Linked DNA regions of Mytilus edulis. The protein of the gene in region 1 interacts with the protein of each later gene in a pairwise test. Links are inferred from orthologs where the notes say so. Each region holds a gene or a part of one and is shown on either strand. Other genes may lie near its edges.

The links.
Region 2: the proteins of calcium-activated potassium channel slowpoke-like (region 1) and alpha-catulin-like interact in a two-hybrid assay, tested with the Caenorhabditis elegans proteins (2 studies listed by BioGRID, with this or other methods). The link is inferred for Mytilus edulis from reciprocal best matches to the Caenorhabditis elegans genes slo-1 and ctn-1.

Annotation. Positions count from the first base shown.
Region 1 is NC_092352.1:16,476,051-16,492,516, reverse strand, and holds the start of calcium-activated potassium channel slowpoke-like, read left to right. Parts: upstream 1-9,671; 5' UTR 9,672-10,773; coding exon 10,774-11,121; intron 11,122-16,466. UniProt on the Caenorhabditis elegans protein: Potassium channel activated by both membrane depolarization or increase in cytosolic Ca(2+) that mediates export of K(+). Its activation dampens the excitatory events that elevate the cytosolic Ca(2+) concentration and/or depolarize the cell membrane.
Region 2 is NC_092357.1:32,303,184-32,320,216, forward strand, and holds the start of alpha-catulin-like, read left to right. Parts: upstream 1-9,691; 5' UTR 9,692-9,730; coding exon 9,731-9,817; intron 9,818-17,033. Other genes in the region: cytohesin-interacting protein-like, read right to left, coding at 1,007-1,109, 1,408-1,560, 9,375-9,434. UniProt on the Caenorhabditis elegans protein: Required for slo-1 potassium ion channel clustering at presynaptic terminals and in egg-laying muscles; clustering of slo-1 mediates the intoxicating and sedatory effects of ethanol on worms.

The DNA.
Region 1 (16,466 bases):
CAATATTGTATTGCCACACGATTTCCCCTGTCGAAATTCTGAGTTGAAATCAATATTTCAAGATTTGAAAGTTAAAATTTTACTTAGCTTTGTTGACCACAGGATTGAACTCAGTTATGTGATACAGAATCAATACAAGTATACTGATCATTTATACCTAAATGCCATCATTCACAGCTCCAACCATACTTATTTTAATTTTAATGAAATGTAATTTTCAGGTATGAATTTCTTATCTCTTTTCCTATTCTTATATTATTGTTGGTCAATTTCAGTCCATGGGTGATGCCTTTTACAGTAATATTTTTAGGGGGATTGCGTAAAGAAATGATGAATTATTTTTTTAATCAATTTGGTATTTATCGATGAATTAAAAGAAGAGAAATCTGTGTCACTTAATCGGTTCTATCAAAATCATTAACAGTCTCAAAAAGTGTCATCTTTTCAGGAGATTTGGCCGTGTGATTGACGATCTTAATAACAAATTTTCATTATTTTTTTCTTGCACTGGAGGTGTGATACACACATGCAACGAAGTTACAGAGGATATAACGTTTTTGACCCATTCGTCCCCCCTTGAAACCGCCATTGGGCTTCATTTCTTATGGCACTTCATTCGAATCGCATATAACATTTCCACTTATCAAATCCTTAATTTTGCATGAGTTCGATATTCAGGAAAAATCACCATATGGGGAACAATACTATTTGTGGGAGGGAGTGATTAAATATCACACAAATTTTCATCATTTTGTTTTCGTTTTACCCCATATCTTGTAAAACGTGTTTAAAAATATGGTCAATGCAAATGAAGTTACATCAAATCCTGGAACAAGTTTCTTTATCACGAGTACGGTCTCTGAAATGGGACAACAGTCTTGGTCCATAAATAAATGCACGTTTTCACGTTGTCGTTGTTCGTCGCGAAATATGCTTTATGTGCTAAGCTGCGTAAATCAATCACCAATCAATCACTCACGTTAAAATTATACTTGGTACAGAATAAACATGACATTATGTAGGAGAGTTTTATTATTTTAAATTATACTGAAAGAAAAAAAGAAATAGTACATTTTGGTAAATACAAAATACCAATCTAATTAAAATATTGATCTCTGATTACGTTATACTACAGACTCATATGTAGTATAACGTAATCAGAGATCAATATTTTAATTAGATTGACAAAATACAAGTAGTTTCCTTCACTTTGTTCGTCTTTATGCATGGTCACGTGGTGTGGATGATCTGTCACGGATTCAATTTTCATTCAAATTTCTGGCACTTGATAACAAGATGAGCCCTATAATATACTACTTGGTAACGACGAAAATAAATGAATCCCCAGAAGATGTGGTATGAATGTTAATGAGACAACTCTCAAGCCAAGTCACAATTTTTAAATGTAAACCATTATAGGTCAAAAGTACAGCCTTCAACACGAAGCCTTGGCACCCACCGAACAGCAAGCTACAAAGGGCCAAGAATGGTATGGCTAGTGTAAAACCATTCAAACAGGCAAACTAACGATCTAATCTATATAAAAACGAGAAATACTTATGAACCACATCAACAAACGACTACCAATGAACATCAGGTTACTAGCTTGCAAGTTACAGCACCCTGAAAGAAAGCAACTACTGTTCTAAAAGTTTTGTTACAAGACCGTCTTATTTTAGAAAGACTACCATATGAACCCCCCTGGTTGAAGGAATTAGCAAAATCCACAAATACCGGGCGGGGTAAAAATGGAAGTCTTGTTCTTAGTTTCAGTGGAGTTTAAAACTATATCACTTGATATTATAGTATATAAGCTTTAGTTTAAAATCTTTGATTTTTTTATGGCTTTTATTTGTCGTGTATATATGTAAAAGAAGATGGTGTATGATTGCCAATGAGACAACTGTCCACAAGATACCAAATGACAAAGAAATTAACAATTAATATAGGTCACCATACGGCCTTTTACAATGAGCAAAGCCCATATCGCATAGTCAGCTATAAAACGACCGAAATGCATTTATTTTAATCATACTACATATACGGGGGAAAGATGTATTTTTTAGCTCCTAATTTTACTCAAAACATCTGTAAAAGAAGTCTATACTATATTTGAGCTACTTCAATCATTCAATACTCCGAGTAACCAGTAATCTGTAATCTGTAATCTGTATAATAAATTCTACCAGTCAAGGCACACCTCCAATTATAGCTGGAGTGACATCCACCACCACGAATATATATATAATTAAAAACCAATTCTTCAGAGAACAATTGAAGGTCTTTCCACCTCGATAATAAGAATGAAATTTAAAGAAACGAATGTCACTCCTTGTTGATGTAATTTGGTTCTTCAAATTGATAATAAAAAATAAGATTAATCGGTCTATGCAGAAGACTTAATTGTTTTTAATATGAACAGAAAACAATTTTTAGCAAAGGTCAAAATCTAGAACGTCAAATTGACCTTTGACCTTGACCTCAATTTCAAGGTCATATGTCAGTGATTTCAAATCAAAACACCCCAGGTCAATCGTTTGTATGGTTGTGGAGAAATACTGATTTCAAATACATAAGGGGAGAAAACTCCTATAAGAGTTAACCAAAACACTTCGACTGAAATAGGTTGAAGTTGCGCCTTTTTATAAACAGTAATTTGGCAAACAAATCAAATCATTACCTGTAACAGTTTCTTTAAAATAACGATAACAAGCAAAATTCAAAATTTATAACATGACCTTGACCTTTGACCTTGACCTTAAATTCCTTCAAATGGACTAAGGACTTCATATCAAAAGACTGTAGGCCTATATAGTTACGATTTAAAATGTATGAATTTATCCAACAAATCGCCTTTCTTAAATTTTCAAAGGGAAATAACTCCCATAAGATGTCTTCTGATCACTCTAGTCAAAACAAAGCAAATCCTTCTCAAGAGTAGACGAACAATTTGGTGAAAACAGTTTGCTGAAATCTATTACGGTTTTAGAGATATAGCGATAACAAGGAAAAGGGGAAGCGGGGAGATAACTCCTATAAGAATAAGTGTTCGGTCACACAGGGTGAGTTTTGAAACCCCCATTACTGTACAAAATCATTGGCCAAAAAATCCATTTGATATGTTGTAAGACAAAAAAGCATCTCAGACGGCAGAAGAAAAAAAAAAAAAAATAATCAGAAGAAAAACAAAAGGTCTTTCCACGAAAAGTGGAAAGACCTAATTATCACACAAATAATGGTTCCATCCACCGGCCGAATATTATATACACACATGCCAATTTATACTATACGCAATAGGCAAATTTAAAAATTATCTAAATAAGAAGTGATAATTTGGACTGTCTTATGCTGAGTCACTTACATAAGAATTTAATTATATATAATTATATATAATTAACCAATAGTCTTAAACTTTCCTCCTCTTTTTGAGTTGTTTAGTATTCAGACCGAGAAGTCTATATCTTGTTGTATGTAGTAGGTGTAACATTTTCCTACATTGAGGTTCAAGAAGTTTTGATAAATTATCAAATATTTGATCACTGTTATTTTTGCAATAGTTGTAAGGATCGCAAATCAATCTGAATAGTTCAATGTTATTGACTCTGTTGCTCTCAGAGAAAATTCTACCAGCAGTTCTCACTATCTTTTCCAATATGGGTTTTCTTACAGCATCTAAAGTTACACAAGTAAGCAGGAAATGGGATAATGTTTCTTCTCCATTTTTGCATAATTGACATGTTGGGTCCACTGCATTAGAGTTATATTTGGCTCTTTGGGATTGTAGGATGTATACCCCTGTTGCAATTTTCACTCGCGGTGGCAATTTTTGTATTATTTTTGGGTCAGAAGTAGATATACTGACTAACGGATGACAATGACCAAGGCTGTATATTGGAGATAAATATTGTAGGCTATTGAAATGTTCTTTCTCATCCAAGATCTTTCTATGCCAGTATGTTTTAATTTTATTTACCATGCTTCTTTTCCATGTTTCTTTTGTTGTTATTGTATCCAAAGATTCTACTGGGTCTGTTAGTTGATATTTAAAACAAATTTTCTTTGCATCTATGAACCAACTGTTGCTTTTGCACGATTTAATTTTCAATTAACGATTTGCTATTTTCCATTCAACAGTTGATTTGTCAGAACATAGAATATTTCCAAGTAAAGTTATAATTTTAATATCAATTTCAGCATTTATGGGTAGTAATCCAGATAATAAATATATAGCCGGGGTTGCAGTTGATATTGGTAACGATAATATTTGTTTTATCGTTTTCTTGTAGAAAGATTGTAGTATTTTCAAAGATTTGCTGTTGGTCATTACAACATCTAGTCCATATAATAGAATGGGCATAACATATGTTCTGAAGGTGGATATAGATGTAGATGGGTCTAGTCCATTTTCTCCATGCAAGCCACTTGCCATTAAACTGTATAAAGCTCTTCTTGCCTTCTTGATGTTTTCCTCAGCAGTTACTAGTTGTGTGTTACAGTTCGATCTTTGTATCCCAACATGTGTGGTTTTATCAACTGTAGGCATTTCCCTATCATCCATAAGAAGTGTCGTATCATTATGGGCATTGGTGTTGGTTTGGATAGGTAGTACAACGCTTTTAGTAGGTTGTAGTATATATGACTTTCTTTTGCTGTAATCGTAACTATGTTGACTAGTATTTGTGCTTCAAACTGAGAATTACTAGTTATGGTAGGATCATCAGCACAAGTAGGCGCACTACAGTTGATCGTTCCAATATGTCCTCCAAACCCGGTGTTACATATTTCGTTTAATAGATCGTTTACATAAACTTTGTAAAGGTCGGCACTAAGAGTGCCACCTTGTCGGACACCTTGTTCAATATTAAATGCATTGGATTGTTCACCGTTCAATTTGACACTGGATCTTGCATTTTTATATAGATCATCAATCATGAGTATTTCTTGCGGTGTGAGTCCCATATGAAATAATTTACGTATAAGGCTCGAATGTTTTACTGGTCAAAGGCCGACTTAGCATCTAGCATAACAAATATTGTCTCTTTTTCAGATCTTTGTTCTCTCGTTGAAATTCCTCCATAATTAATGAGCAATATAATTTAAAGGAGATGCATTCTTGGTAAAGCCTCGCTGGAGTGGATTTTGTATACATATAATTTTGGGATTGATGCGAAATTTAAGTACTGTTTCTATGATCTTTGATAGAGTTGGAGTTATTGTGATGCCTCTATATTTTTTTGCGTCATTCTTGTTGCCTTTATTTTTGAAGACTGGTGTTAATATTCCAAATTTAATAACATCAGGTATAAAGCAGAATTCAAAAGAACTGTTTAGTAGAGTTTGTAAATATGAGGCAAGTATTTCTCCACCATGAATTAAATTTTCAGCAGTGACTCCATAGGTATCCGGGGATTTGTTTCGATTAAGACTTTTAATGGCATTCACGATCTCTTGTTTCTCTACTGGAATATGCCTGAAGTCATGTTTGCATATATCTATGATAGTAGCATATTCGTTGTCTACCTGCTCAATATATGCTTGGTCGAATTGACTGTTGTCACTTTGTTTAGCAAGATTTGCAAAGTGTTCTCTAAAGCCCTCCAATATTCCCCCTTCTGTGTTGTATTTTTGTCCGTTTACATTTAGCTCATCAATATGCATTCCAAATCTTCCTCTTTGACGTCGAATAAGTTTGAAAAATAAATTGGAGTTGTTACTTTTGGCATTAATCAGTTCGCTTTTCCTTTCTAGTTGTTGTTTTGCTAGTGTTAATCGGCATTCTTTTCTAAGGTTACAAGTTGTTACTTTCTTCTTCTGTAACCACTGATTATTGGGATCATTAGGTCGGTTGTTCTGTTTCCAATCATAGTATGCATTCTTCTTGTCAGTTATTGCTTGACGAATTTCTGGTGTCATCACTTGTAGTTTTGATTTCTTCTTCCTTATCTGTTTGGATGGTCCTGAGGTAGATGCCGCCTTGGATAGTAGCTGATTTAAGTCTATATAAGCATGTTCAATATTCTTTATAGATTGGAGGTTTTTGTTCAGTTCTAATATGCCATTTTTTTCGAGCCTGCAAGCAGAAAGCTCGACATAGGGATAGTGATCCGGCGGCGGCGGCGGCGGCAGTGTTAGCTCACTTCTTAAAAGCTATATATTTTAGAAGGTGGAAGACCTGGATGCTTCATATTTTGTATATAGATGCCTCATGTTACGAAGTTTCCGTCAGTCACATGTCCATTGTCCTTGACCTCATTTTCATGGTTCAGTATCACTTGAAAAAAAAGTTCAGATTTTTTGAAATGTTAAATTCTCTCTTACTGTAAGTAATAGGATAACTATATTTAGTATGTGCGTACCTTGGAAGGTTGTCATGCCCGTCAGACAGTTTTCACTTGACCTCGACCTCATTTCATGGATCAGTGAACAAGGTTAAGTTTTGGTGGTCAAGTCCATATCTCAGATACTATAAGCAATAGGTCTAGTATATTCGGTGTATGGAAGGACTGTTAGGTGTACATGTCCAACTGGCAGGTGTCAGCTGACCTTGACCTCATTTTCATGGTTTAGTGGTTATAGTTAAGTTTTTGTGTTTTGGTCTGTTTTTCTCATAATTTATGCAATAGGTTTACTATATGTGTTGTATGGAATGATTGTAAGGTGTACATATCTAGCGGGCAGATGTCATCTAACCTTGACCTCATTTTCATGGTTCAGTGGTTATAGTTAAGTTTTTGTGTTTAGGTCTGTTTTTCTCATACTTTATGCAATAGGTTTACTATATTTGTTGTATGGAATGATTGTATGGTGTACATGTCTAGCGGGCAGATGTCATCTGACCTTGACCTCATTTTCATGGTTCAGTGGTCAAAGTTAAGTTTTTGAGTTTTGGTCTTTTTATCTAATACTATATGTCATAGGTCAACTATATTTGGTGTATGGAAATATTTTATGATCTATATGTCAGTCGTGCAGGTTTTATTTGACCTTGACCTGGTTTTCACGGTTCATTGCTCAGTGTTAAGTTTTTGTGCTTTGGTCTATTTTCTTAAACTATAAGCAATAGGTCAACTATATTTGTTGTATGGAAGCATTGTTAGATGTACATGTCTGCCTGGCATATATATGGTTCAACTGACCTTGACCTCATTTTCATGGTTCATGTTAAGTTTATGTGACGGTCGTAATAAAGCTTTATATTTAGGAGTATCAACATAATATCAATGATTAGTAAAGAAGGCGAGACATTTCAGTGTGTGCACTCTTGTCTATTGTTGAGTTATTTTTCTCAATATCTACTTTGTCCCAGTTGATTTTCGGAGTCGAACATATCCTTTTGTTAGGTTTATTGTGCATACAATATTCATATTTAATTCTTGCTACGATGGGGTAGTGGTCTGAAATGTTTCCAGGTATGTTTTCAAGCTTGATGATTTTAACAATACTCCTGCTGAAATTTTCGCTATATAAGAAGAAGTCAATGTAAGTTGAGTCGCAACCATTTGGGTGTATAAAAGTTGGACCTAGGTCTTTAGTTAAAAGATTATGTTCTTTCATAAATTCCTGAAGATGGTTTGATCTTTTACTATTGGAAAATTGGCTTGCATTTTCATTTAAATCTCCTCCAAGCAGTATGATGTGAGTATCTTTAAATTTTGAATATATATTTCGTGCAGTAGATCTATACACTCCTGAAATTCTTCAATACTGTCTGGTGACCCCTTACAAGGCAGATATACTGATATGATTAAAAGTGGTTCAGCAGCACTGAATTCAATACATTGTAAAATTGAGAATGGAAATGGGGAATGTGTCAAAGAGACAACAACCCGACCAAATAAAAAACAACAGCAGAGGGTCACCAACAGGTCTTCAATGTAGCGAGAAATTCCCGCACCCGGAGGCGTCCATCAGCTGGCCCCTAAACAAATATATACTAGTCCAGTGGTAATGAACGCCATACTAATTTCCAAAATGTACACAAGAAACTAAAATTAAAATAATACAAGACTAACAAAGGCCAGAGGCTCCTGACTTGGGACAGGCGCAACAATGAGGCGGGGTTAAACATGTTTGTGAGATCTCAACCCTCCCCCTATACCTCTAACCAATGTAGAAAAGTAAACGCATAACAATGCAAACATTAAAATTCAGTTCAAGAGAAGTCCGAGTCTGATGTCAGAAGATGTAACCAAAGAAAATAAACAAAATGACAATAATACATAAATAACAACAGACTACTAGCAGTTAACTGACATGCCAGCTCCAGACTTCAATTAAACTGACTGAAAGATTATGATTTCATCATATGAACATCAGGCACAATCCTTCCCGTTAGGGGTTTAATATTATACCATCATAACATATATGGGAAGAACATAACCCGTGTCATGCCAACATGTTTTTAGAATAAATGTGTTTAGTTCCGATGCAAAGACCTTATCAGTGACTCAATATTAACGCCAAAATATGCAATCTTTAATGACTTGACAACAGTATTGTAATCATATCCCTTCTTAATAAGTCTATTCAAAGGTTTTGTAAGTTTCTGAGGTGAATACTGACACCTTTGTGCTTTATAAAGAATATTTCCATAAAAAATTGGATGTGAAATACCTGAACATATTAGAAGTCTGCATGTTGAGCTATATTTACGAATGATGTCTTTATACCGATGATAAAATTTAGTAAATGTTTTGACTAGTTTGTGATATCGAAAACCCTGGTGTAATAATTTTTCAGTAATACATAAATTTCTCTCGTTAAAATCTAAAACATTGTTACATACACGAGCGAATCTTACAAGTTGAGATATATAAACACCGTAAGATGGTGACAAGGGAACGTCACCATCTAAAAACGGATAATTAACGATAGGAAATGAAAAATCATCCCTTTTATCATAAATTTTAGTATTCAGCTTTCCATTAGTGATATAGATATCAAGATCGAGAAAAGGGCAGTGGACATTGTTAGTATTAGCTTTATTTAAAGTAAGTTCAACAGGATAAATTTCATTAATATACATACTGAAGTCGTCATTATTGAGAGCCAAAAATATCATCCAAATATCTAAAAGTATTATGAAATTTGTTTATCAGATGTTGTTTCGATGGGTCTTTGCTTATTTTTGTCATAAATTGTAACTCATAACAATACAAAAACAGGTCCGCAATAAGTGGTGCACAGTTTGTCCCCATTGGAATTCCGATAATCTGACGATATACGGAATCCCCAAAGCGAACAAAAATGTTATCTAGTAAAATTTCAAGGGCATATATAGTATCAAAGCATGTCCAATTAACATAGTTTTTTTGTTTATTGCTACTAAAAAATGAGTTTGAACATATATATTCACATTCTGATTTTTTGAATGCCCATTTAATTAAGTGTGTGAATTTTTTCTTAATGAGAATGTGAGGCAATGTGGTATACAGTGTAGAAAAATCAAAACTTTGAACAGATTCAAAATCACCAATATAAGCATGCAATTTATCAAGTACTTCCAACGAGTTCTTGACACTCCAAAAGTAATTTATTCCACTATTTTCGAAGGCCTTATTTGAACAATTTATAATCAGGTTTTTAATTGTACCAATTGTGCTGGTAAGAAGAATAGACAATTTAGTAGTTGAACAATGGCTATACGTTCGTTCCGATCTGGAAGTTGTGTTATATAGCTATCAAGTTGTTTTTTCCACATGATTGCAACACCTTTGATACCGGTCCGAAATAGTGTGAACCTTTGATACCCGAAATCCGCATATCAAGTTCAAATCTGTATTAAATAGGTATTGTAATGAGCTTATAATTATGTATATTCATAACCTCGATTAGTTGAAGATCAACAAGTTTAAAACAATGACGTCCGCATTATCTGTGAGAACACAAATAGGAATTAGGAATACAGTAATTTTCCAAGCTTAATTTAAATAAGAATTAAATACCAATTTCAAATAATATTACAAAATTACATCTGAATTGACTAATAAATCTTTCTATAACTACACGCTATCATATATGTGCTAAATTATATATGATATCCTTGGATTTTATTTCAACTTTCTTCTTGAATGCACGTTTATACTATAGTGGTATGCTATTCAGCTGTGACATTTGAATTTCAATATTTTTCCTTTAAAAATCGATCGAGCAAATCGTTATATTACAGTAACATAATATTCCAATAATCACAGAGATAATATATATCTACATGTATTTGTTGTTAAGTAGAAATATCGGTTTTATATAGCACATGCTAACGGCAGAACTCTTGAGCAGCAAAATGGTGAGGAAAACGTTAAGAAAATCGAAGCCGATCGATAATGAACGCTACGCCTCGATGAAAGATAAATGATCGACTAACAAGCTTTAATATTTATATCCCGTTATTGTGTGACAACATTACAGAAGAGAATCCGTTTCAATGAATGGAACATATTGTAATAATTATGTTTTGTCACCACCACATTTGACTGATGACATAGAAACCAAAGATTGTTGATGAAGGGGAGGTAGACTCGTTACTTCATGGAGTTCAATACGACGAATAACCACATGTGAAAAATCACAACATATCAATTCGTTTTCATTCATTGACATTTGGGATTTAACGACGGAAATTGTAAATATAACTGTACTACAGATTTAAGTACTCGTATATATAGGAATACTCACAATGTAAGCAATCTGTTGTAACTTGTCACTTTATATTTATTATGAGGGAATATATGTGGAATCAGTGTAGTACAGACTGAGACTGAATATTCCGTCAAGATGACAAACACTACTGCGATAGATGACTGTCTGTCAGAAAGGAGATGGTACATTTTCTTGCTCTCCAGTCTCTTCACATTTATAGCGGGAATTGTTGTTATTGCCGTATACCGTCTAATATTGTGGATATGTTGTCACAAAAGAAAAAAAATACCTCAAGCAAAAGTGGCAAATCATACAGGACCTTTACCTATTCCTGAAAAGAGGAAAGGCTCCCAAACAGTCGGTGGGGCTGCGGGAGGTACCATTTTCTTAAAGACCCCAGACCCAGAAATAGGATGGATGACCGAGGCAAAAGACTGGGCTGGCGAGCTTATTTCTGGCCAGACAATGACTGGAAGAATCTTGGTAAGTTGGTCTATTTCTGTTTACTTGTAGATCATCCCATGATTCAGTCTTAAATAACTAGAACTGATATTTTGTCTTTAAAATAAGTTGCATATGATTTTGAAACATATTTTTCTAAAAAAAAAACTAATATGCTTACATGCTTTTATTTAATTATTTTTAAAAGTTATTTTGGCTGCAAGTTCCTACAATGTTTTTATTACTCCAACCAATGTAAAAATGTAGTATAAACCCGAGGATAAGTAAACAAAAAATACACGTGTAGTATTCTATGCGTTTGATGATTTCTATGTATTACGAATTCTTGGCAACCTATCAGTCAGTGTTATGCAAAGAGTGATGTTTGTTACCCTAGCGATGAATGTATAGGATGGAAAAGAATATATAAGTTATAACATATGTGCTCACTCAAGAATACAACAGACAATGATAGATAATTGCTCATATGATTTCCATTCTATATATTATACCATCAGCTGCTGTCACTACGAATAAGTCGATAGTTTTAATTAAAAATGTTCTTGTACAACTCATCAACTATACCAGGCTACGACAAACGCCTGTTTCGTTTACATATATACAAGACTCGTCAGTACCGCTCGAATTAAAACAGTTAGAAGGCCAAATTTAGTTCGAAGTTGGACAGCAAATACAATTGAAAATTCCAAAAATGTATGCCTTTATATACGGTTAAGCCAATCTATGAGTAAGCAAAACTTAGTAAATCGAATAATTCTATAGTTTTATAGTTTATAAATCACAATGTATATATATATGCAATAACACTTGAGTTCTATGTATATGTAAAGTAATATATGTCATTGATATGCAATAACTGTTTAGTTTCCAGTTCCTTTGTATTTGTAAAGAAATACATGTGATATATATGCAATTCTCCATTTGTAAAGTATTTACATGTAATGTTTTATGATACTAATAATTCATTTTTCACAATACAAATATAGATTTTAGAAGTTTAGAAGAGTTTATTTAATTATAATTCTAAAATCAATTTCGTTCGATACGTAGATTCGGATTCAATATTTCATTAGAGTCTTGCCGCTTGCTATAAATAAATCCCTTATTCATATAAAAAAAGCAACAACCGACAGAAACATAAACATGAAATACAAATGACATTTCATAAAAAGATAACTTCAAATTGGACTTTGAGAGTCTGTCAATATCCTTGTCGTCTGACCTAAGTTCTATAGACATTATATCATTTGTACTTATGTACATATTTTACGGCTTTATAAGCAGTGCTCAGACTTGCACCTTCGAGACAAAAATCGATTAAAATGGATCGCTCCACAGTTATACTGCATGGTTACACGCTAACATATAAAGCGTGCACTTCTCGACTGAAAGCTTCCGAATAGTATCATAAATGTATGTACCGTGTAAGATACTGGAACAGATCATCTACGATCACATGGTAAAACATATAGAAAATGTCAGAGAGCTTACATTGTCTTAAACCATTGATTAAGGTCCGGCTATTCGTGTGAACCGAACTACTGGACATATTGCATAACTTCATGAAACTATGATGCTGGTCACCAAACTAAGGTCGACGTTGCTGGACTTCTCCACGGCAGTCGACACCCAGCAACGCAATAATTATATAGAAGAATAATATTTTATTTCATTAAAGGGCCCAAGCATTTTACAAAACATAACATTATAACTTGAGATTAAAACAAATAACATTCGGCAATGAAATCAAATGATATATAACTTTCTTAAGTAAATGTTTGAAAATCTTAAGCTTTTATAACACGCTGGTTATTACTGTATTGAAAAAAATAATATACAATACATAGTTAACTAACAGATATGTATAAAGTTGTATAGTCCTTTAGGTTCAGCATGTTTCTAGTTAATACAGTAATAACCAGCGTGGAGAAGTCCAGCATACAGTTTTGTAAAAATATCGACACTGACGAAGACCATTTGTTAAGCCGAAATATATATATACATGTGTTTCAAAAGCATGAAAGGAAGCTACATAGTTAACTTGAATGCAGTTGACGATACCATTGGGATATAAGAACGTTTTCATTGATAGAAGAAAGGAAAAGAGAATGTATTAATCAATATCATCTTCATTTCCATATTCTTAAGAAGATTTAAAAACCAATATCTGTTTGACTTTTAAATCAATAGGTAAAATTACAGCAATTTTTTTTAATATGTATGTATATACTTCTCTTAATGTTTGTATGTAAAACTATTCATATAATTTTAAGTTGATCAACATTTTCTACACTAAAAAGCTAGTTTAAAAGTCTAAATAAACTAGACCGCAAATATTATGTAATAGGATCATTCAATAAATCGTTAGATATTTTCTTAAAGTCCGGGAAAATGAAAGTCGATATTGATGAAGGTGATTCTGAAGAAGCGACATCACAAGTATCACAAGGAACCGTGCTCTGTCGATTACATCAATGACCTGCCAGATATCGGGGGTTGGGGATACTTCGATCCTTTTGTGGTAGGGGAGCAGCTGAGTTATCAAGTACTTTGTCCTTTTCATAAACTATGAGTTTTAAAAGTGCATACCCTATCGTATCTAAGACTATAGTTATCACGTGTGTGCTATTTCAAGGAGAGATAATAGATTTGTGTTGTCAGTTTATTTTCGACTTGTGAGTTTAAATTTCCCTTTGGTGTCTTTACTTGAAATTTATCTGATGGATTTCAATTGCCTCTGTGTCTGAAAAAAACCCCATAGAAAACTTTGCCATAGACTGCAGAATTGGTTAAAATGCAAAGAAGTGTTACATCTAGAACAGGGATACATTGTTCAGCCTTGAGCCTTCAACTCTAACAGCTCCAACATAGCCCATAAACTAACTGAATATAGGACTGTACACATCTGTAAATATACAAGTCAATGGACAACTCACATCTTCAATGGAGTCAAGAAAGAAGACTCAACACATGGCTTTCTCAGACTAAATCTACAAATGTGTCCAAAAGACTGCACAAAACATCTTACATATCAATGGAAAGATCCACAATGGAATATGGAACAATGGAAACATATATACACCATGAATGCACAAACGACTTACACCAACAACAAAGTAGTTGCTTAAATCCAAATACTCCTTGATCCTGATGGGTTTTTCGGGGGATGGAGCACCACTTTTGTTTGTCAACTAAAATGCTTGGGCCCCCTTTTATAGGACTTGCATGTGTTTGAAATCCTTTTAAAAATGTCTGGAACCTACGTTGTTTGGTCTCTGATGGATCGTAGTCGTCTTATTGACAATCACACCACATGCATGTATACCTATTTATTTTTTTCATTTAGAAAAGATCAAACGGTTGCGATAATTTCAAATCAAGACAAGAGCAATTGGTTACCACTTGAAAATGCTATTTGACTTAGATAAAAGATGACTTGATCTGCCGTGCAGAACAAGCCAATGAAGCCACCTATCAATCCTGACTTTGAATTTCTATAGTTATAGTAAATATAAAAGGATTATCAAACCTATAAACGTGTTAAGATCTGTTAAGACTTAGAAAGTGTCAGTATCCTGGTCTTAGCAGAAACAATCATAATAGAAATTCAAGATATCATCGGTTTTTGGACATCCTTGTCACAGATTTTTTGTTAAAACTTGCAAGACTGGCTGCTTAAACATTTGATTCATTTCAATCATTTTCTAGCATACAGTGTGCAACAGTTGGAATCAGCCGATAGTGTAGGATTTAATAATGTCCCCAATGATAAAATGTCCACCGGACACATTTTCATAGTAAATACTGTCCATGGACAATTTTTACTTATTTAAATATGTCCTAGACATAATTTCCTATGAAAATATGTCCTCATGTATGAAAAAGTGTCCATGAACATGGACATTATTCACTACCATAATATTGTCCAGGTGGACATTTTTTCACAGGACATTGTGTCCGCCAAGGGATTTTTTGATATAATTAAAGTATTAAATGATATCCATTGCCCTTATTATTACTGGACGCATTTTAACTTTAATTGCGGACTTTAATTAAATATTACTTTGACATAGAGATTTCTCATTATCTCTCATACCATCCTTATCTTCATATTTATATCTTTTGATATAATTATATACATGTATAATTCAAACTCAAAAAAGTAACATATGCTGTTCAGTATCATTTTCCTTGGAGGACACAATTTAATAACATTTACTACGAAAATGTCTTCTCACTGTTCTGTAGATGGACCATATTTCATAACAGTTGCTGTAAAATGCTGTCCACTAAGGAGACAATATTTCATGACAATGGACATAATTTATTTTCTATTGCCTTTTTTCCTGCCAAATAAATATAGTAAAGTTCTTCAGATTTGATTGTACACTTTCTTCTTATTGTTATTCTTTCATTGTCACTACAATTTGCTGGGAATTTCTCTATATTCACTTCAATCCATTATTTGTTTGTTTACATTTGTATTTTGATCAATTTCTCATCAATCCTTCATAATTTGATTAAAATCCAAGTATAATAAAACTTTTTAATGACATTTGTATTACTTCCCTTGGAGGACACAATTTAATAGCAACTACTATGAAAATTTGTCCTGTGGGTGGACACTATTTCATATCTTTTGCAGTAAAAATCTGTCCATTTGAGGGACACTATTCCATGGGAATGGACATTATTAAATACCTAAATTCTATGAAAAACTGTCCACATGGACACTTTTTCATAGGACACTATTATGTCTTACAATAGCTTCCATTCAGCTTTACGATTACGTCAATATAATACCCTTATTTGCATGTTCACATTGCATCATAACTTAGTAGTTTCCGACGCGAGTGTCACGATATTGGTTTGGAGAATAGTTTTTAGATATCCGGTTTGTTTTTTCCTATAGTATAATTGGTGATTTTGGTTTTGTTTTTTGTACATGATCTATCAACTAATAATAATGCAGTTATAATCATTGGACTAATTTAAGTATCATACAATTGAGAATTCACATAGCCCCTACGTTAAGAATTTCAACAGGCTTTTTAATATAGACATCAACCATAGACATAATGATATAGCCTAAATGACTTTGTATTATATAAGAGACATCGTCTACGTATATTTGTACATATGTCTCACTCTCATGTTGTATGTTTCTGATAGGAAATATAATTCATATGAGATCGAGAGTTCGTCAATATGTCACAAGTTAACAAATGCAATTATACTATTCCCAAATACGAACTAAAAGTTAAACCCTATTTAGTCCAGATAATCTGTAAGGTACCTTTCTAATGTGATCTTAGATCATTAAATGGATCCCATGTTGAAGAAGAAAGGCTTCAAAGCAAATATTT
Region 2 (17,033 bases), on another chromosome or scaffold:
CATAAAATTCCTCGAAAAAAAAAATGGTATCCTGCTTTGCTACTAAAGTAGGTGAAATCATAGATATGCTTACGGTGTCAAGCGTAAACCCAGGGCGTTTTCTGGCTTCTTGGCCGCTTCAGAATGTAATAAAATTTGATAACAGGAAGGTTTCTAGGTGCAACATGCTAGTGTTTTGGCTTATTATTGTAGAAATTACATGTCAATACATTCTGTAATTCAAAATGTTGGCTTCCTTTAACATTTGTTTATAGTTATCCAATAAGAACGACTGTTACAAAATAATTGCATTAGCATTATTAATAAATCAAAAATAAATAGTGAAAACTGTCAAATCTATAATTTTTTGCTACTAATCCTGTGAGATTTAACTTTCATTATATACACTTTATGTTACTTGTTTCACTTGATAAATAATCTTAATGAAACTTGATACAATGAAAATAAAGAATGCATAAGATGTTGAACTTAGCGTACACCAACTTGTAATTCAAAATATTGGAAAACAGAAAGTATGTATCTGTCCAATAGAATTAAATAAGTTTTTACTGTACATAACAATTAACAATATTTAATTAATTAAAGAGCATGCCTACATATGTGAGCTCACATCTATATGCTTCACATCTTTAGTCATATTTAATCTTTGTGTTAAAGTAAATTCAGAAATTATTGTATGCATGCATATAATATTGCAATATTTGAAGACTTCAACTAAAATGCACGATTATATTTTGCAATTTCAAGAAAAGCTTCATACAGATATTTGTATCCATGTATCCATGGTGTTGATATTAGAATGTAAATTGTTATTATTGCAGAACTTGCAACCTTGCACTAATTTTTTAATTTAGATTATTTTAAGAAGAGATTTATACATAAAATAAAGCTTCTAGTGATTTTCTCGATTTATAATGTAACCATACCTTTCCTCATTCCAGCCATGTATGCTGGACCAGTAATCTCAATGTAGTCAACATAAGTCATTATTATAATGTAACCATACCTTTCCTCATTCCAGCCATGTATGCTGGACCAGTAATCTCAATGTAGTCAACATAAGTCATTATTTCAATCTCGTTCGTTTTCTTGTGTTTAATGCCATAAGTCTAAAATAAGAAATAACATCAAATAATGAACCATTTGTTGTAAGTTTTGAGGAATGTTGATTTGTTTTGTTTTGTCTTTTCTTTTTTTTTTTTTTTTTTTGGGGGGGGGGGGGGGGGTTTCTACTACTAGATGTTGATGTACTGTGACCTTTAGTTCTTAATTTCTTTGTCATTTGGTGTCTTGTGAAGAGTTGTCTCATTGGCAATCATGCCACATCTTCTTTTTTAAATGATGTAATTTTTTAAATTGACCATTGGTATCACCTCCCCCCCCTTTTTTTTTTTACTCAAATCTTACCTGCAGAGTAAAGCCCCATGAATTATTAATCTTCTTCAGGAATAGAGTGCGCCTTTTAGTGTTGTCATTGGGATGGCTCTTTATGGATCGTTCAGGCTCTAAACAATGAAGATCAGCACCGATAGAGCTACTTGATGGAATCATTGGGATTTTCTGAAATAAAATTAAAATACTATACATAAAATCTTTGAGAGCATTTGCTTTACAGAAAATTTAGCTTTGCCCTATATAACCATGATTTAGTTTTTTATATCTTTGAACCTATATATATAACCATGATGGCTTTTAATTCAGATGCCAGTCATATATATCATTCATTAAAGAAAAAAATCTATAAGTCTGTGATATGATTGATTGCTGGGTACTATTGATAAAAATAAAAGAATGTGTAAGAGGACAGGAATGCCCCTGTTGAAGCTTCAAGCAAATGGAAATTAGGACAGAAGGAAGGAAAGACAGAAAGTCAAGGTTGACATTCTTTGCCTTTTCGCCAACAGCAGAGGCATATAATAATTAACTGAAACATTTTTAGATGAAAATAATAATTGTATGTATTGTTGGGAGCAATTAAAAGAAATACTATGCTATAGGCATGTTAGAGTTTATGGTAAATTCAACAATGTTCAATATCTAATTCACAGGATTTCATGCTTGTAACTTATTATTCACTTTGTTTCAGGTGAATCGTTGAAAAACCAATGATCATGACACTATTTCTTTTTTTTTTCATTCATTGTAAAATAGCCATTCTATTTCCTTTTCGTCAGTACACATACCCCCTCTTTACAACTATCATATAAATGATCATTATGATAATGATCGATATATATATGTATATACCGAAGCTAATCAATCATAAAAGTAAAATCTATAGTAGCTCTGATGTACATATCATTTACAATTTTCAAAGTATACAATGGTAAGAATAAACAATATTTTCTGCTATTGACAAACTATTTTGAGTGCTTGTAATCATGCTGATGTTACCAATCAATAGTGTTATAAGAAATATAGATAGAATTCAATGAAAACTGGCCAATTCTTATTGGGTTTATCAAATCTAGAACTGGAGTGCAATGTGACGACAAAAATATCTTGTATTGCCAATTTCATTGTGATGTCCAGCATATGTAACCCATTTTGATTGAAAGTATATCTTAACTTGCAAAGCAAAAGAACTGGAGTGCAAAGTGACGACAAAAATATCTTGTATTGCCAATTTCATTGTGATGTCCAGCATATGTAACCCATTTTGATTGAAAGTATATCTTAACTTGCAAAGCAAAAGAATTTCAAATTATAATTCACTTTCTCTCATCTATCACTGTCTATTCATTAACTTGTGACACTTTTACTATATTATTTTATTGAATCAACAAATTATGCCAAAGGATTTGTGCAATATTTGATCTCTTATAATCAGTAATGTTCCTAACTTTTCAGAAACTGAAAAAAAATGGGTTTGTTAAAAAAAATAACATATGACTTGAATATTAAGTCAGTCAGTCACAGTCCATGCACTATGTTTTTTGGTGTATTTTTTAGCTACAGAGCAGTGTATAAATTCACTTACCTAGATGCATTCGATCATTATCTATCAAAATTAATTATACAGTCATGAATGTAACAATAAGTTACTCGACTGACGGGGAAAGACACTTCCTTACATCATTGTGTTTTTCCTTTAATTTTTCAATAATCAATGATAATTGCACAGTTACAACATTGTACAAAAAGACAGGAAATTCCGATTATTATGATACAATTTTCCTGTACATTTAATCTTAACAATAGATCAATTATCTTTTGCTTGTATTAAACAAAGAGATGCAGGATGAGGACAAAATAACCTAAAATTTACCTTTTAATGTTTTAGCAGTTTACAAAACCCTGCTATCAATATGAATATGTATAAAAAAACTCAAGCCATGGATCTCTGTCATAAAACTTTACTTAGTGCTTGGAGAACAACATTTATGATCCAGTATTTTGATTAGTTGAAAGTTCTGAGTACATGAGTACAATAATTGATAAATTTGTATAACTGCAATACTGCAAGGTCACTTCCTATAAAACCTAAAAATTAAACATGATCAAGGAGTCCTTATGTTAATAAAAGTAATATTGTTTCATCATTTGAGATGACTGTCAAATGATATATAAACCAACACTAAATAGCTAAATCTACTTTTGTCAAGTATGCCATTCACATAAAATTGTACTTCATGTGTCAAATGTATCATGTGTACATGTATGATGCCAATAATAGAGTATTTGATACATAATACATGATTACTTAGTAATCTAACTACATGTTCATCACGTACATGTTTGTCTGAATTGGGTACTTTGTTTCTGTAATCTTAAAATTTTAAGTTGTTTTTCTCTTTCTTTTAATTTTTGGCCATTAATTTCATGATTTGCTATTTGATATATAAATATATATAATATAAGCACCACATTTAATATTTCACATACTGGAAACTGAATCGACACATTTAACATTTTATCTGCATTGAGGTCTTAAAACTTTTCCACTTTTTTTCAGGAAATTATTTCTACTAATTTTCTTTACAATCTATTAATTAGCACAATATTTTTTTTTATTATGATTATAAAAGTTCAAATATATAATATTTTGGCACAAATATATATTATTTAAATAAAAGTAGTAATATTTTAATTTTTTAACCCTTGAAAATTAATCTAAATTGGCTGTTAACCAAGAGATATGTTTACAATTTTATGCAAATATACATGACTTTCTTTGATCTAAATAATTTGTTATTCAAAATAAACATTTAATCCATTTATATATATATATTTTAAATACTATGATATACCCTTACATCATAAATACACAGGTAAAGCTCTATATCAAAAATTTATCATTTATATACAAGTATATAACTATATATCTGTTAGTCATGTTTAAAAGGTCATCATGCATGGGGTTATCTTGTTCAGATCAATCTTAATTTACAAAATATTACAAACATCTTGTTTTCACCATATGTTCATGTCAGATGTTTAAATAAATTAAATGAGCACAATTTGTTAATCAATTTTTTAATAAATTTTATATGCATCTTATGTTACATTCTTAGGCTACATTTGCTGTTAATGAAATATGTTTTAGAGTACATTGAGTTTTATTGTTTACATCTTTGTTAAAATCAAAGCGCAAATGCACTGAAAATGGCAAAGTTGGTCTAAATATGTATTTTTTAGGTTTCTGCCTGGAACTGCTGCTTTGAGTGGAAACGTTTTATGCTGACTATCAAAAATATTTTGTCTCAAATTTGTTACTGAATATTTTGAAACTAATATGTTCAGCCATATACAACATGTATAATGATATATATAGCAAAATTAGAAAATCTATCACATGACAAATTTACTGAAAAGGTCTTAGATTGGGTCTTAACTATAATTAAATAAAATTTCTTCTACTGTGAAAGTACTTTAATTCATGGGAATCAATTTTCAGGGTTTAAACAACATTTACATGTTCGTCGGTTTTTAACTTCGTGGATTTTAGTTTTCTAAAAAAAAAACGAAGGAAAAAATTGAAGATAATAGAAACGAAGATTACAAATTGTATAGATTGAAGGAAATTGGATAAAGTCATCCACGAAAACCACGAAAATTGGTTCCCCACGGATAAAAGTACTTTCACAGTATTACAGTCCCATCAGAATGCATGTAGCAAAACAAATCTTGAGTAAAAATAGAGAAGTAAATTTTTAAACAGAATCAAATGTCAACCTCGTACTTAATTTGGCTTTTTTAACCTTTTATTAATCGAATGACACTGATTAGTCTTTTATAGACGAAACGTGCATCTGGCGCAAATACAAACTTCCAACATGTCCAACCCTAATATCTATGATGAGTTTATTTACCAACTAGACAGTTACTTTGTACATTTCTAAATAGAGAAATTTAATATAGCACTTTCTCAAGAATGTAAAGTTTAAAACTGAACACATTTAATATTATACTGTTATAAGAGAGATATATATATTGTACAAGATCAGTCATTCTTAAAAATCAATAATCAGATGATTTTAAACACCTGGATTAAATTACAAATCATCAACCACTTTTAAAGTAAAAGTTAATTTTAAATCCAGAACTTGAAATTCTGACTTTCTATATAAGTATATATAATACATATATTTTCCTCTAATTCTTTGACAATTAATCCCTTTCTGCACCCATTTTATTAATTAACAGCTGCACCATGAGTGCATGATACGCCCATCGTCTAGTGTGAAGTTTTATGCAATAATAAATAGTTTCTGAGATACAGCGCGACAATTGTGAAAACCCCCTTCTTTTTTTTTTATACAAAAACTCAATAACTCCCAAAAGATTTTTGAATCATCACCAAAAAAGAATACAGATCTTTATATTAATATAACTAAGAAGTGTGTAAAGTTTTAAGAAATAATAATTGATGGGTTTTGAGATAGAGTGTGACATGTGAACACCCCCCCCCCTTTTTTTTTTTACAAAAAACTCAACAACTATAAAAAAAAATTTGAATCATCACCAAAAAATGTACACACCTTTAGACATGTTAGAATAATATAACTAAAAAGTGTGTAAAGTTCAAAACAATAATCATAAATTGTTTTTGAGATACGGCGCGACATGTGAACAAAACCCCCCCCATGTTTTACTCAAAAAGTTAAAATCTTATTTTCACCAAAAGGTATAGAGATCGTTTGGCCATTTGACCATCATAAGAAACAACTGTATTAAGTTTCATGAAATTTGAATAAGTGCATGGTTCTTTAGTTACGGTGCAACATGTGGATACTGGACAGATGGTCGGATGGACGGAAGACAGACATTTGAATACCATAATACTTCCCTTCAAAATTTTGATGGGCATATAAAAAATGTAACCAACATGTGGTTGCTAGTGATCTCAGAAGATGATTGGATGAGTTTAAGGGTCATAACCTTTATCAGCTCCCAGAGTAGATGAATAAAAATATCGTGCACATCATTTCAAGATAAGAGAAATTGTTTAAATTCCACTATTAACTCACTGTAGTTGCCCAAACTTTATGCATTTGATTCCTAGCCAAAAACTAATATGGCTTCTTAATGTAGAGAATCTTGATATTTTAATATCTGTCTGTGAGTTAGTTGATGAAGACAAAATATAACTTGAAAGATAAATATTTAAATCAGGCTTTCTGCACTACATGCACTAGGCTCTTATTAGGTTAGCATGGTGGGGTATAGGACATATATCGCATAAGTTCTATTAATACCTTTCTGTTTGTGATATTTTTGATTAAACTGGTAATATTTTATCTTTTTCGTAATATGTGCACTTTGGTATGTCAACAAGTGAAACTGCGAGCTACTGCTCACTGATGATACCCCCGCCGCAAGTGGATAATATTAATAGTGTAAAAATATGCAAGTGTTCGGTAAACAGGAAGTTGTCCAGTGATGAATCTGAAAACGCATCACACAGTATAGCTGACTTATATAAATCCTGAAACCAAATTTCAGAAATCCTTGTATTGTAGTTCCTGAGAAAAATGTGACGAAAATTTTCAAGTTGGCTATCATGTGTAACGTCATACAAGTGTTCGGTAAACAGGAAGTTGTCGAGTGATGAATCTGAAAACGCATCACACGGTATAGCTGACTTATATAAATCCTGAAACCAAATTTCAGAAATCCTTGTATTGTAGTTCCTGAGAAAAATGTGACGAAAATTTTCAACTTGGATATCATGTGTAAAATCATACAAGTTTTTTCGGTAAACAGGAAGTTGTCAAGTGATGAATCTGAAAACGCATCACACGGTATGGCTGACATATATAAATGTTGCTACCAAATTACAGAAAGGGTGGATGTGTAGTTCCTGAGAAAAATGTGACGAAAGTTTCATGGGACGGACTGACTGACGGACGGACTGACGGACGGAGGTAAAACAGTATACCCCCCCTTTTTTAAAGCGGGGGTATAATTAGCTTTGTCCCTTGGTGCCTCTTGCAGTTGTGTCACTTTAAATAGTACTGACTCCTCTGCACCAGGCACGAGGATGACATACCAGTTATATGCAACTTCTTACAATATCTTACTATATATCATTAATGTCCCGATACACATTTTAAGAAGCACCCACCATGCCATATAGCACCGTCCATTGGTGCCTCCTGCAGTTCAGCTAGATATATTCAGCCTACTCACAGTATTCTTTTTTGTTACTTTCTAGAGCTGTGTCTGAGACAAAGGTTTTATGTATACTCATATATACATACTGACATAATAATATATGAAAACTGTTGTTTCTTATTTGTGTTTGTAAAGTGCTATGTATACTGTATTGTTTATTATATTTGTAAAATAATAATATTATAATGATATTATATAATTCTCCTTGTGAGCCCATTTTATGGAAATAAAGCATCTTCTATATACTAGAACACACGGGTCTGTGATATTGCGGGTCCTTAACTGAATTAAAGTATATAACTATGCGTAAGACTTATTTTAGCCTGGATTTTTATTATTGGTATTGTCATCTGATAAAGTATGAATAGTCATGCTGATTATAAGCATGATAAGATGCACAGTTTTCTCTGCTTTCGAAATCTTTCTGTTTGAACCTGTTGACCTGGAACTTATCAATTATTGGTAATATTAATTATTTAGAAAGAAAAAAAGGGCCTGGAATGGCCTGGAATGGAGTAATTTATAATCAACAGCATTGTCCTATATTAGTTATAAATAATGTTGATATCTTTGATTCACCGTTTTTTACATCATGCCAGCAATCAAATTAAAAGCTGTACGCCTTTTTTTAAGTCTAGATTTTTAGTATTTGTATTGTCATCTCATAAAGTCATCAAGTCATGCTGATTAAAATACTACAATAGGATGCAATGTGACAATGATTGAATTAAGTAATATAAAAGGCAAACGAGTATCTGAGTTTTACCTAAAATTGTACATTGTACTTAAGTAATAGGCCTTATGAGCGAGTTATCATCCCTAGTAAATATATACTTACTGATTTTTATGTAAATACTATCAAGGTCCCCAGACTTTAACTTTTTTAATCATTGTTATTGGCTAAAGTAGTGTTGTTTTTTTGTTTAAGATGCACATGACTCAATAACACGCAAAAGACCACTTTCAAGTTAAGTTTTACACCAGAAAAGTTCAATTATGGGCACCTTTTTGTCTTCATTTACTAGAGAGAGGGATCGCCTGTATGCCTGCGCTAGAAAAGTGCATTATGCGTCATTGCGATCTTCATTAAATTTATGCAGCTGGAGGACCACAGACACTTGTTTCTATGCATGGGAAGGTTGAATATCCATGTAAATAGAAGCTTCTATTTATATGGATAGTCGACCTTCCCATGGATAGAAACAAGTACCTGTGTGGATGACCTAGAAATAATATTTGTTCCATAAGTACTGGATCAAATACCCCAATGACAGCAGTGCATATTATAAGAATTTAATTTGCCAAATTATTTATGCAATATAGCATCCTATTTTTTCAACCACTCGTTCAACCAGGGACAACCGCTGACTGACCTAAGGGGGGCCTGCTCCAGTCATGTTTCAATGATTCCCTATATAATCAACCAAATTTTTCCCATGAAAGGGGGGCCCGGGCCCTCCTGGATCTGCCTATGGAGTTGAGTTCAGTTGTCCTGGATTTTAAAACACTTTAAAAACCTTTTGATCCGCCCCCTTTATTAACATTTATTGTTTCCGTTTTACTCTATTACATATTCTTTGGAAAATAATAGCATTATATTTGATAAATACATACTTTCATTGTTATTTAGTCCAATGCAAGTACAACATCAAATGGTTTCTGTAACTTTAAACTCTTATTCGGTTGTTGAATTTAGTTATGTCCCTTTAGTTTCTGATAGCTAGATTTCTAAAGACTTAAATTTAATATGATCAAACCTTTTTATCTTGTTTCCAACTTAAATGGGACACCATCTCCATGGTATTCACCCATGTCATTTCTACGAAACTGTCATCCCGTGGTTTAGGCAGGATTTATGTTTAAACTGGTGCTAATCTCCGCCAGTGCGAGTGGCAACCTGAACTTGCCGCTTAAGCACCCTGAAATAAAAACACTATTTTAAAAATCATAATCTTCTCATCATACATAATCATAACAAATTGATGATTGTCAATTTATTTATTCATGTTTATTAGAATAAGTCTAAAATGAATTATTCGATAAATACGTCATTTGTTAATATTCTTTAGTTCTTAAGCGACACAACCTTTGACCCAGCTTGGAAGCTGGAAAGATGGCAGGGTTGAGAAATGAAGCCCGGTTGTCGTTGGAAATTCGAACTAAATCTATCGAACAGACGTTGATTCCATTGGTAACACAGGTATTTTCTTACAACTGTATTTATAGAGTATAAAAGCTTCAAGTTTTAATTGCAACTGTAATAAAATGAGATTAAATTGCCATGAATAAAAGAACAATGCAAATTATTTATTAATCATGTTAATATTTACATAAGTTAAAACATACATGTATATTTGCATGTTACTCCAACTTACATGCATATTGCAAAAGATAGAAATGATGGAAGAATTTTCAGACCAGGATCCTATATCCTGCTCCCTCCAGGCTACAGTACATGTACATATAGAAATATATTTCATATGTATTTGAGAAATAAACAAAGAACTATACAGGCATAATAAAGACCAAATTCCATTTCATGCTCTTTCTTAGAACTTTTCTACATATATGTGTCACAATGCTCTATGTCACATAGAGGTGAAAATACGGCCATATTTGTCCATTTGTTATGATGAACCTTAAGAACTGTGATTGTTCAATGATGTTTACATCGTTTTGATATATATCATCTGCATAATAATATGGGATCATACAATTACATGTTTGTTGACTTAACATTTGGACAATTGGACCAGTAAATATTTGTCTATCAGACATCTGACAGAAGGGACAGATTTATTACTTACCATGCCTACAATGTACTGTAAACATTGTAATTCAAAAAGTATTGCGATGATTTTATCATAGTGAAAAATGCGAGTGGGTTATAATCATATGTGATAATCGCAATAATTTGAACTCTCATTCTGAAATTTTTTATATGAATTTAAGAGGATTATTTTCAATAACGCAAAACAAAATCACATTTAAGTCTTGAAATGACAATATCTCAACAAAACATGCAATAATTTCTGAATTTACAGTAATCATACACATGTATTTTATTAATTTTGATATGATGATTTATGGCATGGGCCCAGTTGACACAACATTTGAAGAAATACATTGTACTATAGCTAAAAGTGTTCATAATATAATGTTTTATGTTATTTGGGGGAAACATCATTGGTACATTTGACTTTTAAATGCTGTATCTTTTCATTAAACACATGAAATAACATGAATTAAGTAGACCCTGTAGACCAAATTTTGTAAATCAGCAAATTTTATTTAAAATCAAATACAATGAACTGATGAAAATGATGAATATACATCATGCTTTTACAAATAGCATCTAAAGTATATACACATGTACATGTACATGCATGCATGCATAGGAAACAAATCCATAAATTTAATGCAAAAATACAAAACCTGCTTAACCAGGTTAACATAAAATGTAGCAAACCTGATAAACCTTCTAAGTAATACATGTTGAGAAAATTCATTTTTAATTACATTAAACTTTTTAAGCTTATTATGATAAATATTGTTTACAAATAACTGCAGTCATAATTGATTATGACAGATATTACATAATATTATTATATAATTGTTTACACCTGGTACAAGTTAAGTTCAGGTAAATACAGGATCTCCTTTGATCACAATTCCATTATAATATACAAAGTGACATCTGTTTACCATTATCAAGGACTATTTTGTTGCAAGAATAGTTTTATTAAGATATATATACATTGTTTATGGCATAGGCATTCATTTTTCTGATGCAAAAACTGGAGATTTATTTTCCGGACAGAAAATGATGCAATCTCATGCAGTTATATACTTGAATAGAATGTCAATGCTTCATATAACATGTACATATATTAATCAATCTAATCTACATGATATATATGCCTACAATGGCTTATAATATTTATAACATGATGCAATTAAATATATATGATTTGATATACTTTATTTATGGTGGGTCAAGTTAATTTATATTCATCGAAAATGTAAAATTTCTGAAAGAGTACTAGTCCTTTCCTGAAATTATTGCAATAACCTTAAATATATATATTGTGATGACAATTAGACGCACTCAATCAAGTTAGGGAGCTGCCATTTGATTTTTATGGGGGCCTAGGATGAAATTTGAAAAAAAGGCAGGACAGGCATGACCAGATGACAAGAGTTTTGAGTAAAAAAAAAGGTAGGATGACAATTTATGTAAAAATAAGTCAGGATGACGGCTTCCTCTGCCTCATTTTTAGACTTATACCTCGAATTTGACATACACAGTCATCTCAGTACCAGAATCTATGACAAACGAGACGATTTTAATTTTGAAATTATCAATTTCCCCCACCTTAGTAGTAATATACCAACTTCACCTGCATATGGAATATACATTTCCCAACTTATTAGGTATTCAAGAGCTTGCAGCTCCTATTCAGACTTTGTAAAACGTCACCAGTGTCTGAGCAGAAAATTGATGAACCAGGGATATGTCAAAGAACGTCTCGTCCTTTTTCTAAAAAAGTTCATCGGAAGATACCCAGAACTTGTTGATAAATATTCCGTATCAACTTCACAAATAATACAAGATGGTCTTGAAGTATAGATTTTGCGTACTGACGTTTGTTATCATCTTAATTACGTATTATAGTATTCTTTTATATGTCTTTTTTAGATATTCATTTGAAGTGACTCTGTGGTTATGTAAAACCACATACTTTGAACGGCAAAATTATTTCATTTATTGATATTACTTTTACTTAAGGATCTTGACATACTATGAATGACAAAACTATTTTATTCAATAAGACTACTTTTTCTGTTTAGTCTGTTTTTATGATATACATTTGACGTGAAACTGTACTTATGTATCCCGTCATACTTTGAACCACACCATTGTTTTATTTATTATTATTACTTTTACTGTTAAATCTGGTTTTTGTTATATCTACTTTACGTGAGTCTGCATTTATGTATGCCGTCATACGACAAAATTATTTTTATGTCTACCTGTGCGAATTTCAAACGCGCAATTTTACACCAGTAATGAAAACCTTCTATCATTTATGGGTAGACTTTACATAGATAAATTCAGCCGTATTTGACGTGAAACTGTACTTATGTATCCCGTCATACTTTGAACCACACCATTATTTTATTTATTATTTTTACTGTAAGTCTGTTTTTTGTTATATCTACTTTACATGAGTCTGCATTTATGTATGCCGTCATACGACAAAATAATTTTTATGTCTACCTGTGCGAATTTCAAACGCGCAATTTTACACCAGTAATGAAAACCTTCTTTCATTTATGGGTAGACTTTACATAGATAAATTCAGCCGTATAGGAAAAGCAAATTGAGAATGTTGAATTTGATGTATGCCTTTTTGTGCTACTTTGTTACATTTGTTGTTTATGTAGTGATATTAAGATGATAACACAATATTGACTGTTGTACCCCTATTTTTGACATTTTTACTCTTTGAGTATGTTTGTTTTGTTCATGCATCGTTGACAATGTAATGGAATTTGATGCGACTCAACATTTTTCGAGGGATTAGACAAGGATGTCCGTGCAGTGCTTTAATTTTCGTTATTGCTGTCGAGATATTAGCATGTAGAATAAGACAAGACAATAATATTAAAGGATTTGAAATCAAAATAGATGGGAAAACACATTCTTTAAAAATCAGTCAACTTGCAGATGACACCACACTTTTTTTAAAAACAAAACAAGACATTTCAAAAGTATTAAACATGATTGAAATTTTTGGCACTTTGTCAGGGCTTAAATTAAACAGATCAAAAACAGAAGGAATTTGGTTAGGAAAACACAAACATTGCAAAGAAAAATATGAAAATATCAACTTTACAAACAAACCAGTGAAATGTTTAGGAATTTTTTTCGGTTGTAACAAAAATGAATGCCAAAAACTAAATGCAGAAAAACAAATAGAAAAGTCTGAAAAGATCATAAAAAATTGGGAGAAAAGACATTTAACAATGATCGGTAAAATAACAGTTATCAAATCATTGATCATACCAAACATTACCTTTTTAGCGTCTGTTTCACATATTGAAAAAGAATATATTGTTAAATTTAAAAAAATTATCTATAATTTTTTATGGAAAAGCAAAAGAGAAAAGGTTAAACGCACAGTACTCAGTTTTTGTGAACTAGATGGGGGTTTAAAAATGATTAACATAGATAAATATATAGAATCTATCAAAATTGGGTGGATCAAAAGGTTAATTAATGGAGATTTAAAAAATTGGAAAATTATTCCACTTTTTTATTTTAATAAGTTTGGAAAAGATTTCCTTATCTTTCACATGAATATTGATAACACTGACTCTATTCCAGAGTTAAAGGAGCTGCCAAAATTTTATTTCAACATTGTAAAAGCATGGATAAATAATAAAAAAGTACAACAGCCAAAAAACTTTAGATCTATACGTCAAGAAGTTATTTGGGGAAATCGTTTCTTAAAGATAAAAAATAAATGCCTTTTATTCCAAAACTGGATAAATAGTAATTTTATCTTTATTAATGACATCATTGATGAAAATGGTAATATAGAAGAAAATTTTATTTTACAAAAGCTTAAAATAAAAAGTAACTGGATGTCAGAATTTTACCAATTAAAGAAAGCTTTTCCAAGAGAATGGTTAAAGATTTTAAAACAGGAAAACTCAAAGAAAACTAAAGTAAAAACGCCCTATGCAATACATATTATTGATAATTGCAATAAAAAAGAAAAATTAGAAAATGTAGATACCAGAAAAATTTATAATATATTAATTGAGAATGAAATTGAAATACCTGTTGGTTTTTATAAATGGAAGACAAAGCTTAACCTTGTATACATTAAGAGTCTTTCATGTAATATGTTAAAGTTTGTTCATTATTTTTTAAAAGATAATAAATACAAAGTGTTCCGTTGGAAATTGCTACACTTTATTTTACCTTGTAAAGTTTTATTGAAAAAGTGGAAGATATGCGATATTTCAAATTGTCATTATTGCAACACCACAGAGGATTATGATCACATGTTTCTAACATGTCACTATCTTGATAATTTCTGGAGAAAAGTAAAAACACTCTTAGAAAAACTGAATATTAATAATAATATTCTAACATTAAAAAATTTAGTTTGGGGTTATAAAATAAATGATGAACAATACTATGAAATTAATTATTTGATTACAATTATAATGTTTTGTATATACAAGGCAAACTATATGTCTGAACAGAAAACAAAATCTTTAGATGTATATACTGTATTTAAAACAGAATTCATGTACAGCTACAAAATGCAGGCAACTAGTAAACATACTAAGAATAAATGTCTACTTGATAAAGTTGTCAAATTGTTGTAATAATTTTTATGTTTGCAAATGTATAATCTAGCAAAAAATAAGAATAGAAAAAGATAAATAATTTAAAATGTCCAGATCAGGAACTGATTTCGAGAAATAATTTCACCTTTCACCGATAAGCGTGGAGATAACGGTATTGCTCTCCACTTTTTTATCGTTAAAAAAATGGGGAAAAAATTAATTACATTCTATTTTTATCAGAATCGATACACATATATTGTAATATTTGTTTATACATACCTGTGAATTGCATATATTAATCATAAATCATTATTAAAACTGGTATTTCCAAACCAGGAAGAGATATCAATTCAATAATAGGAAACCGATAACGGCAAGTGTGAATTATTTCCGGAAACTTTTTAATTCTAAACAGACTAGATATACATATTGATAAATTAGAATTTCATATATAATTATTTATTTTACGGTTGAAAATGAATTATATACACTATAGTCTAGATAAATTGTACTTTATCATTGTTACACAGAGAGAAATGATATTAAAATGCAGATACTCTTCACTAGGAGGCTGGACTAGTGGAGTCAATTGTTAACAGCAAGCAATATATTGTTGAATAAAAAAAAAAAAAAAAAAAGGAATTTGATGCGACTGTCATACAAGTGAGAGGTTTAGCTAGCTATAAAACCAGGTTCAATCCACCATTTTCTACATTAGAAAATGCCTGTACCAAGTCAGGAATATGACAGTTGTTATCCATTCGTTTGATGTGCTTGGACTTTTGATTTTGCCTTTTGATTTTTGATTTTCCTTTTTGAATTTTCCTCGGAGTTCAGTATTTTTGTGTTTTTACTTTTTATGTAAAAATAAGTCAGGATAAACTAAGAAAAAAAAGGCAGGACCGAAAAGAGTGAAAAATAAAAAGGCAGGACAGAGATAACAACTAAAAAAAAATACAGGAGAAAATTTTTCATCCTAGCCCCTTAAAAATCAAATGGTAGCTCCCTTAGTGCCATCAAGGATATCTCACATAAATGGCAATGGCACTCATATGCCATGTATGTACAAATGTATGTTTTATAATCAACAAAATTAGGTATATATATATATATGTGTAACATTTTTTTCTGAGGGGCCCATCAAGGTCGTTAAAAACTTCCATTTGTTGTTTGAGGGGCCTTAGTCATTTAGTGGACTAGTGGTGAATCATCATATGAGCGTAGTCCAACTACTTCTATTATAAGCCTGTCAACACTGAGGTAGTGTGAGTTCAAACACTGTATGTGGACAGTGTTAACGTTGGAGGCTTGTAGATGGTTAAGGGAGTATGTTTATGATAACAGAAGAATGAGATTTGCATTAACCATGAAATTATGCATATAGATAATTATTACTTCAATTATGGCATGTATGGAACTTTAATTAACAGGTAAACAAATTTGTCCATGGCCAAGAGTGGTCAATCATTAATTCAAATTGACAAAAGTCAAATGTCTATAAATAACTGTGACACTTAACACTACATACAAAATATTAAAAGACTGCTGGAATTGATAAAGTTGAGCAACAATAACCCAATTTAAAAAAAAATGATCGTTGAGTACAATCCAGTGGCAAGTATTTCATGCATATTCAGTACAATAGAATGCAGTACTGTATGTATCTCCAATAACCATGTTCATGCATATGTTATTAGTACTACACTACATGTATATACATGATATATATACATGATACATTTTGTACATGTATACCTTGTATACAAATAACATGCATATTTAGAATTTTTGGTAAAATTCAGATTCTTATTTCAAAATTTAGCAATTTTGGGCATTGGTTTATTATGTTTATAAACAGCTGATAAAGTTATTAAATGTACAAATGTACATTGAATGTAATTAGTTTTATTTTAAATTAATTCCTCCATTTTTTTGCTTGCAATTTATTTTAAAACTTTAAGACACTTTGGTTTTCACCAAGCAAACATTTCACTTTGAATTTATTGACAAGGCTAGACTGCTTATTAGATGTATTCAATTTTAAAGTA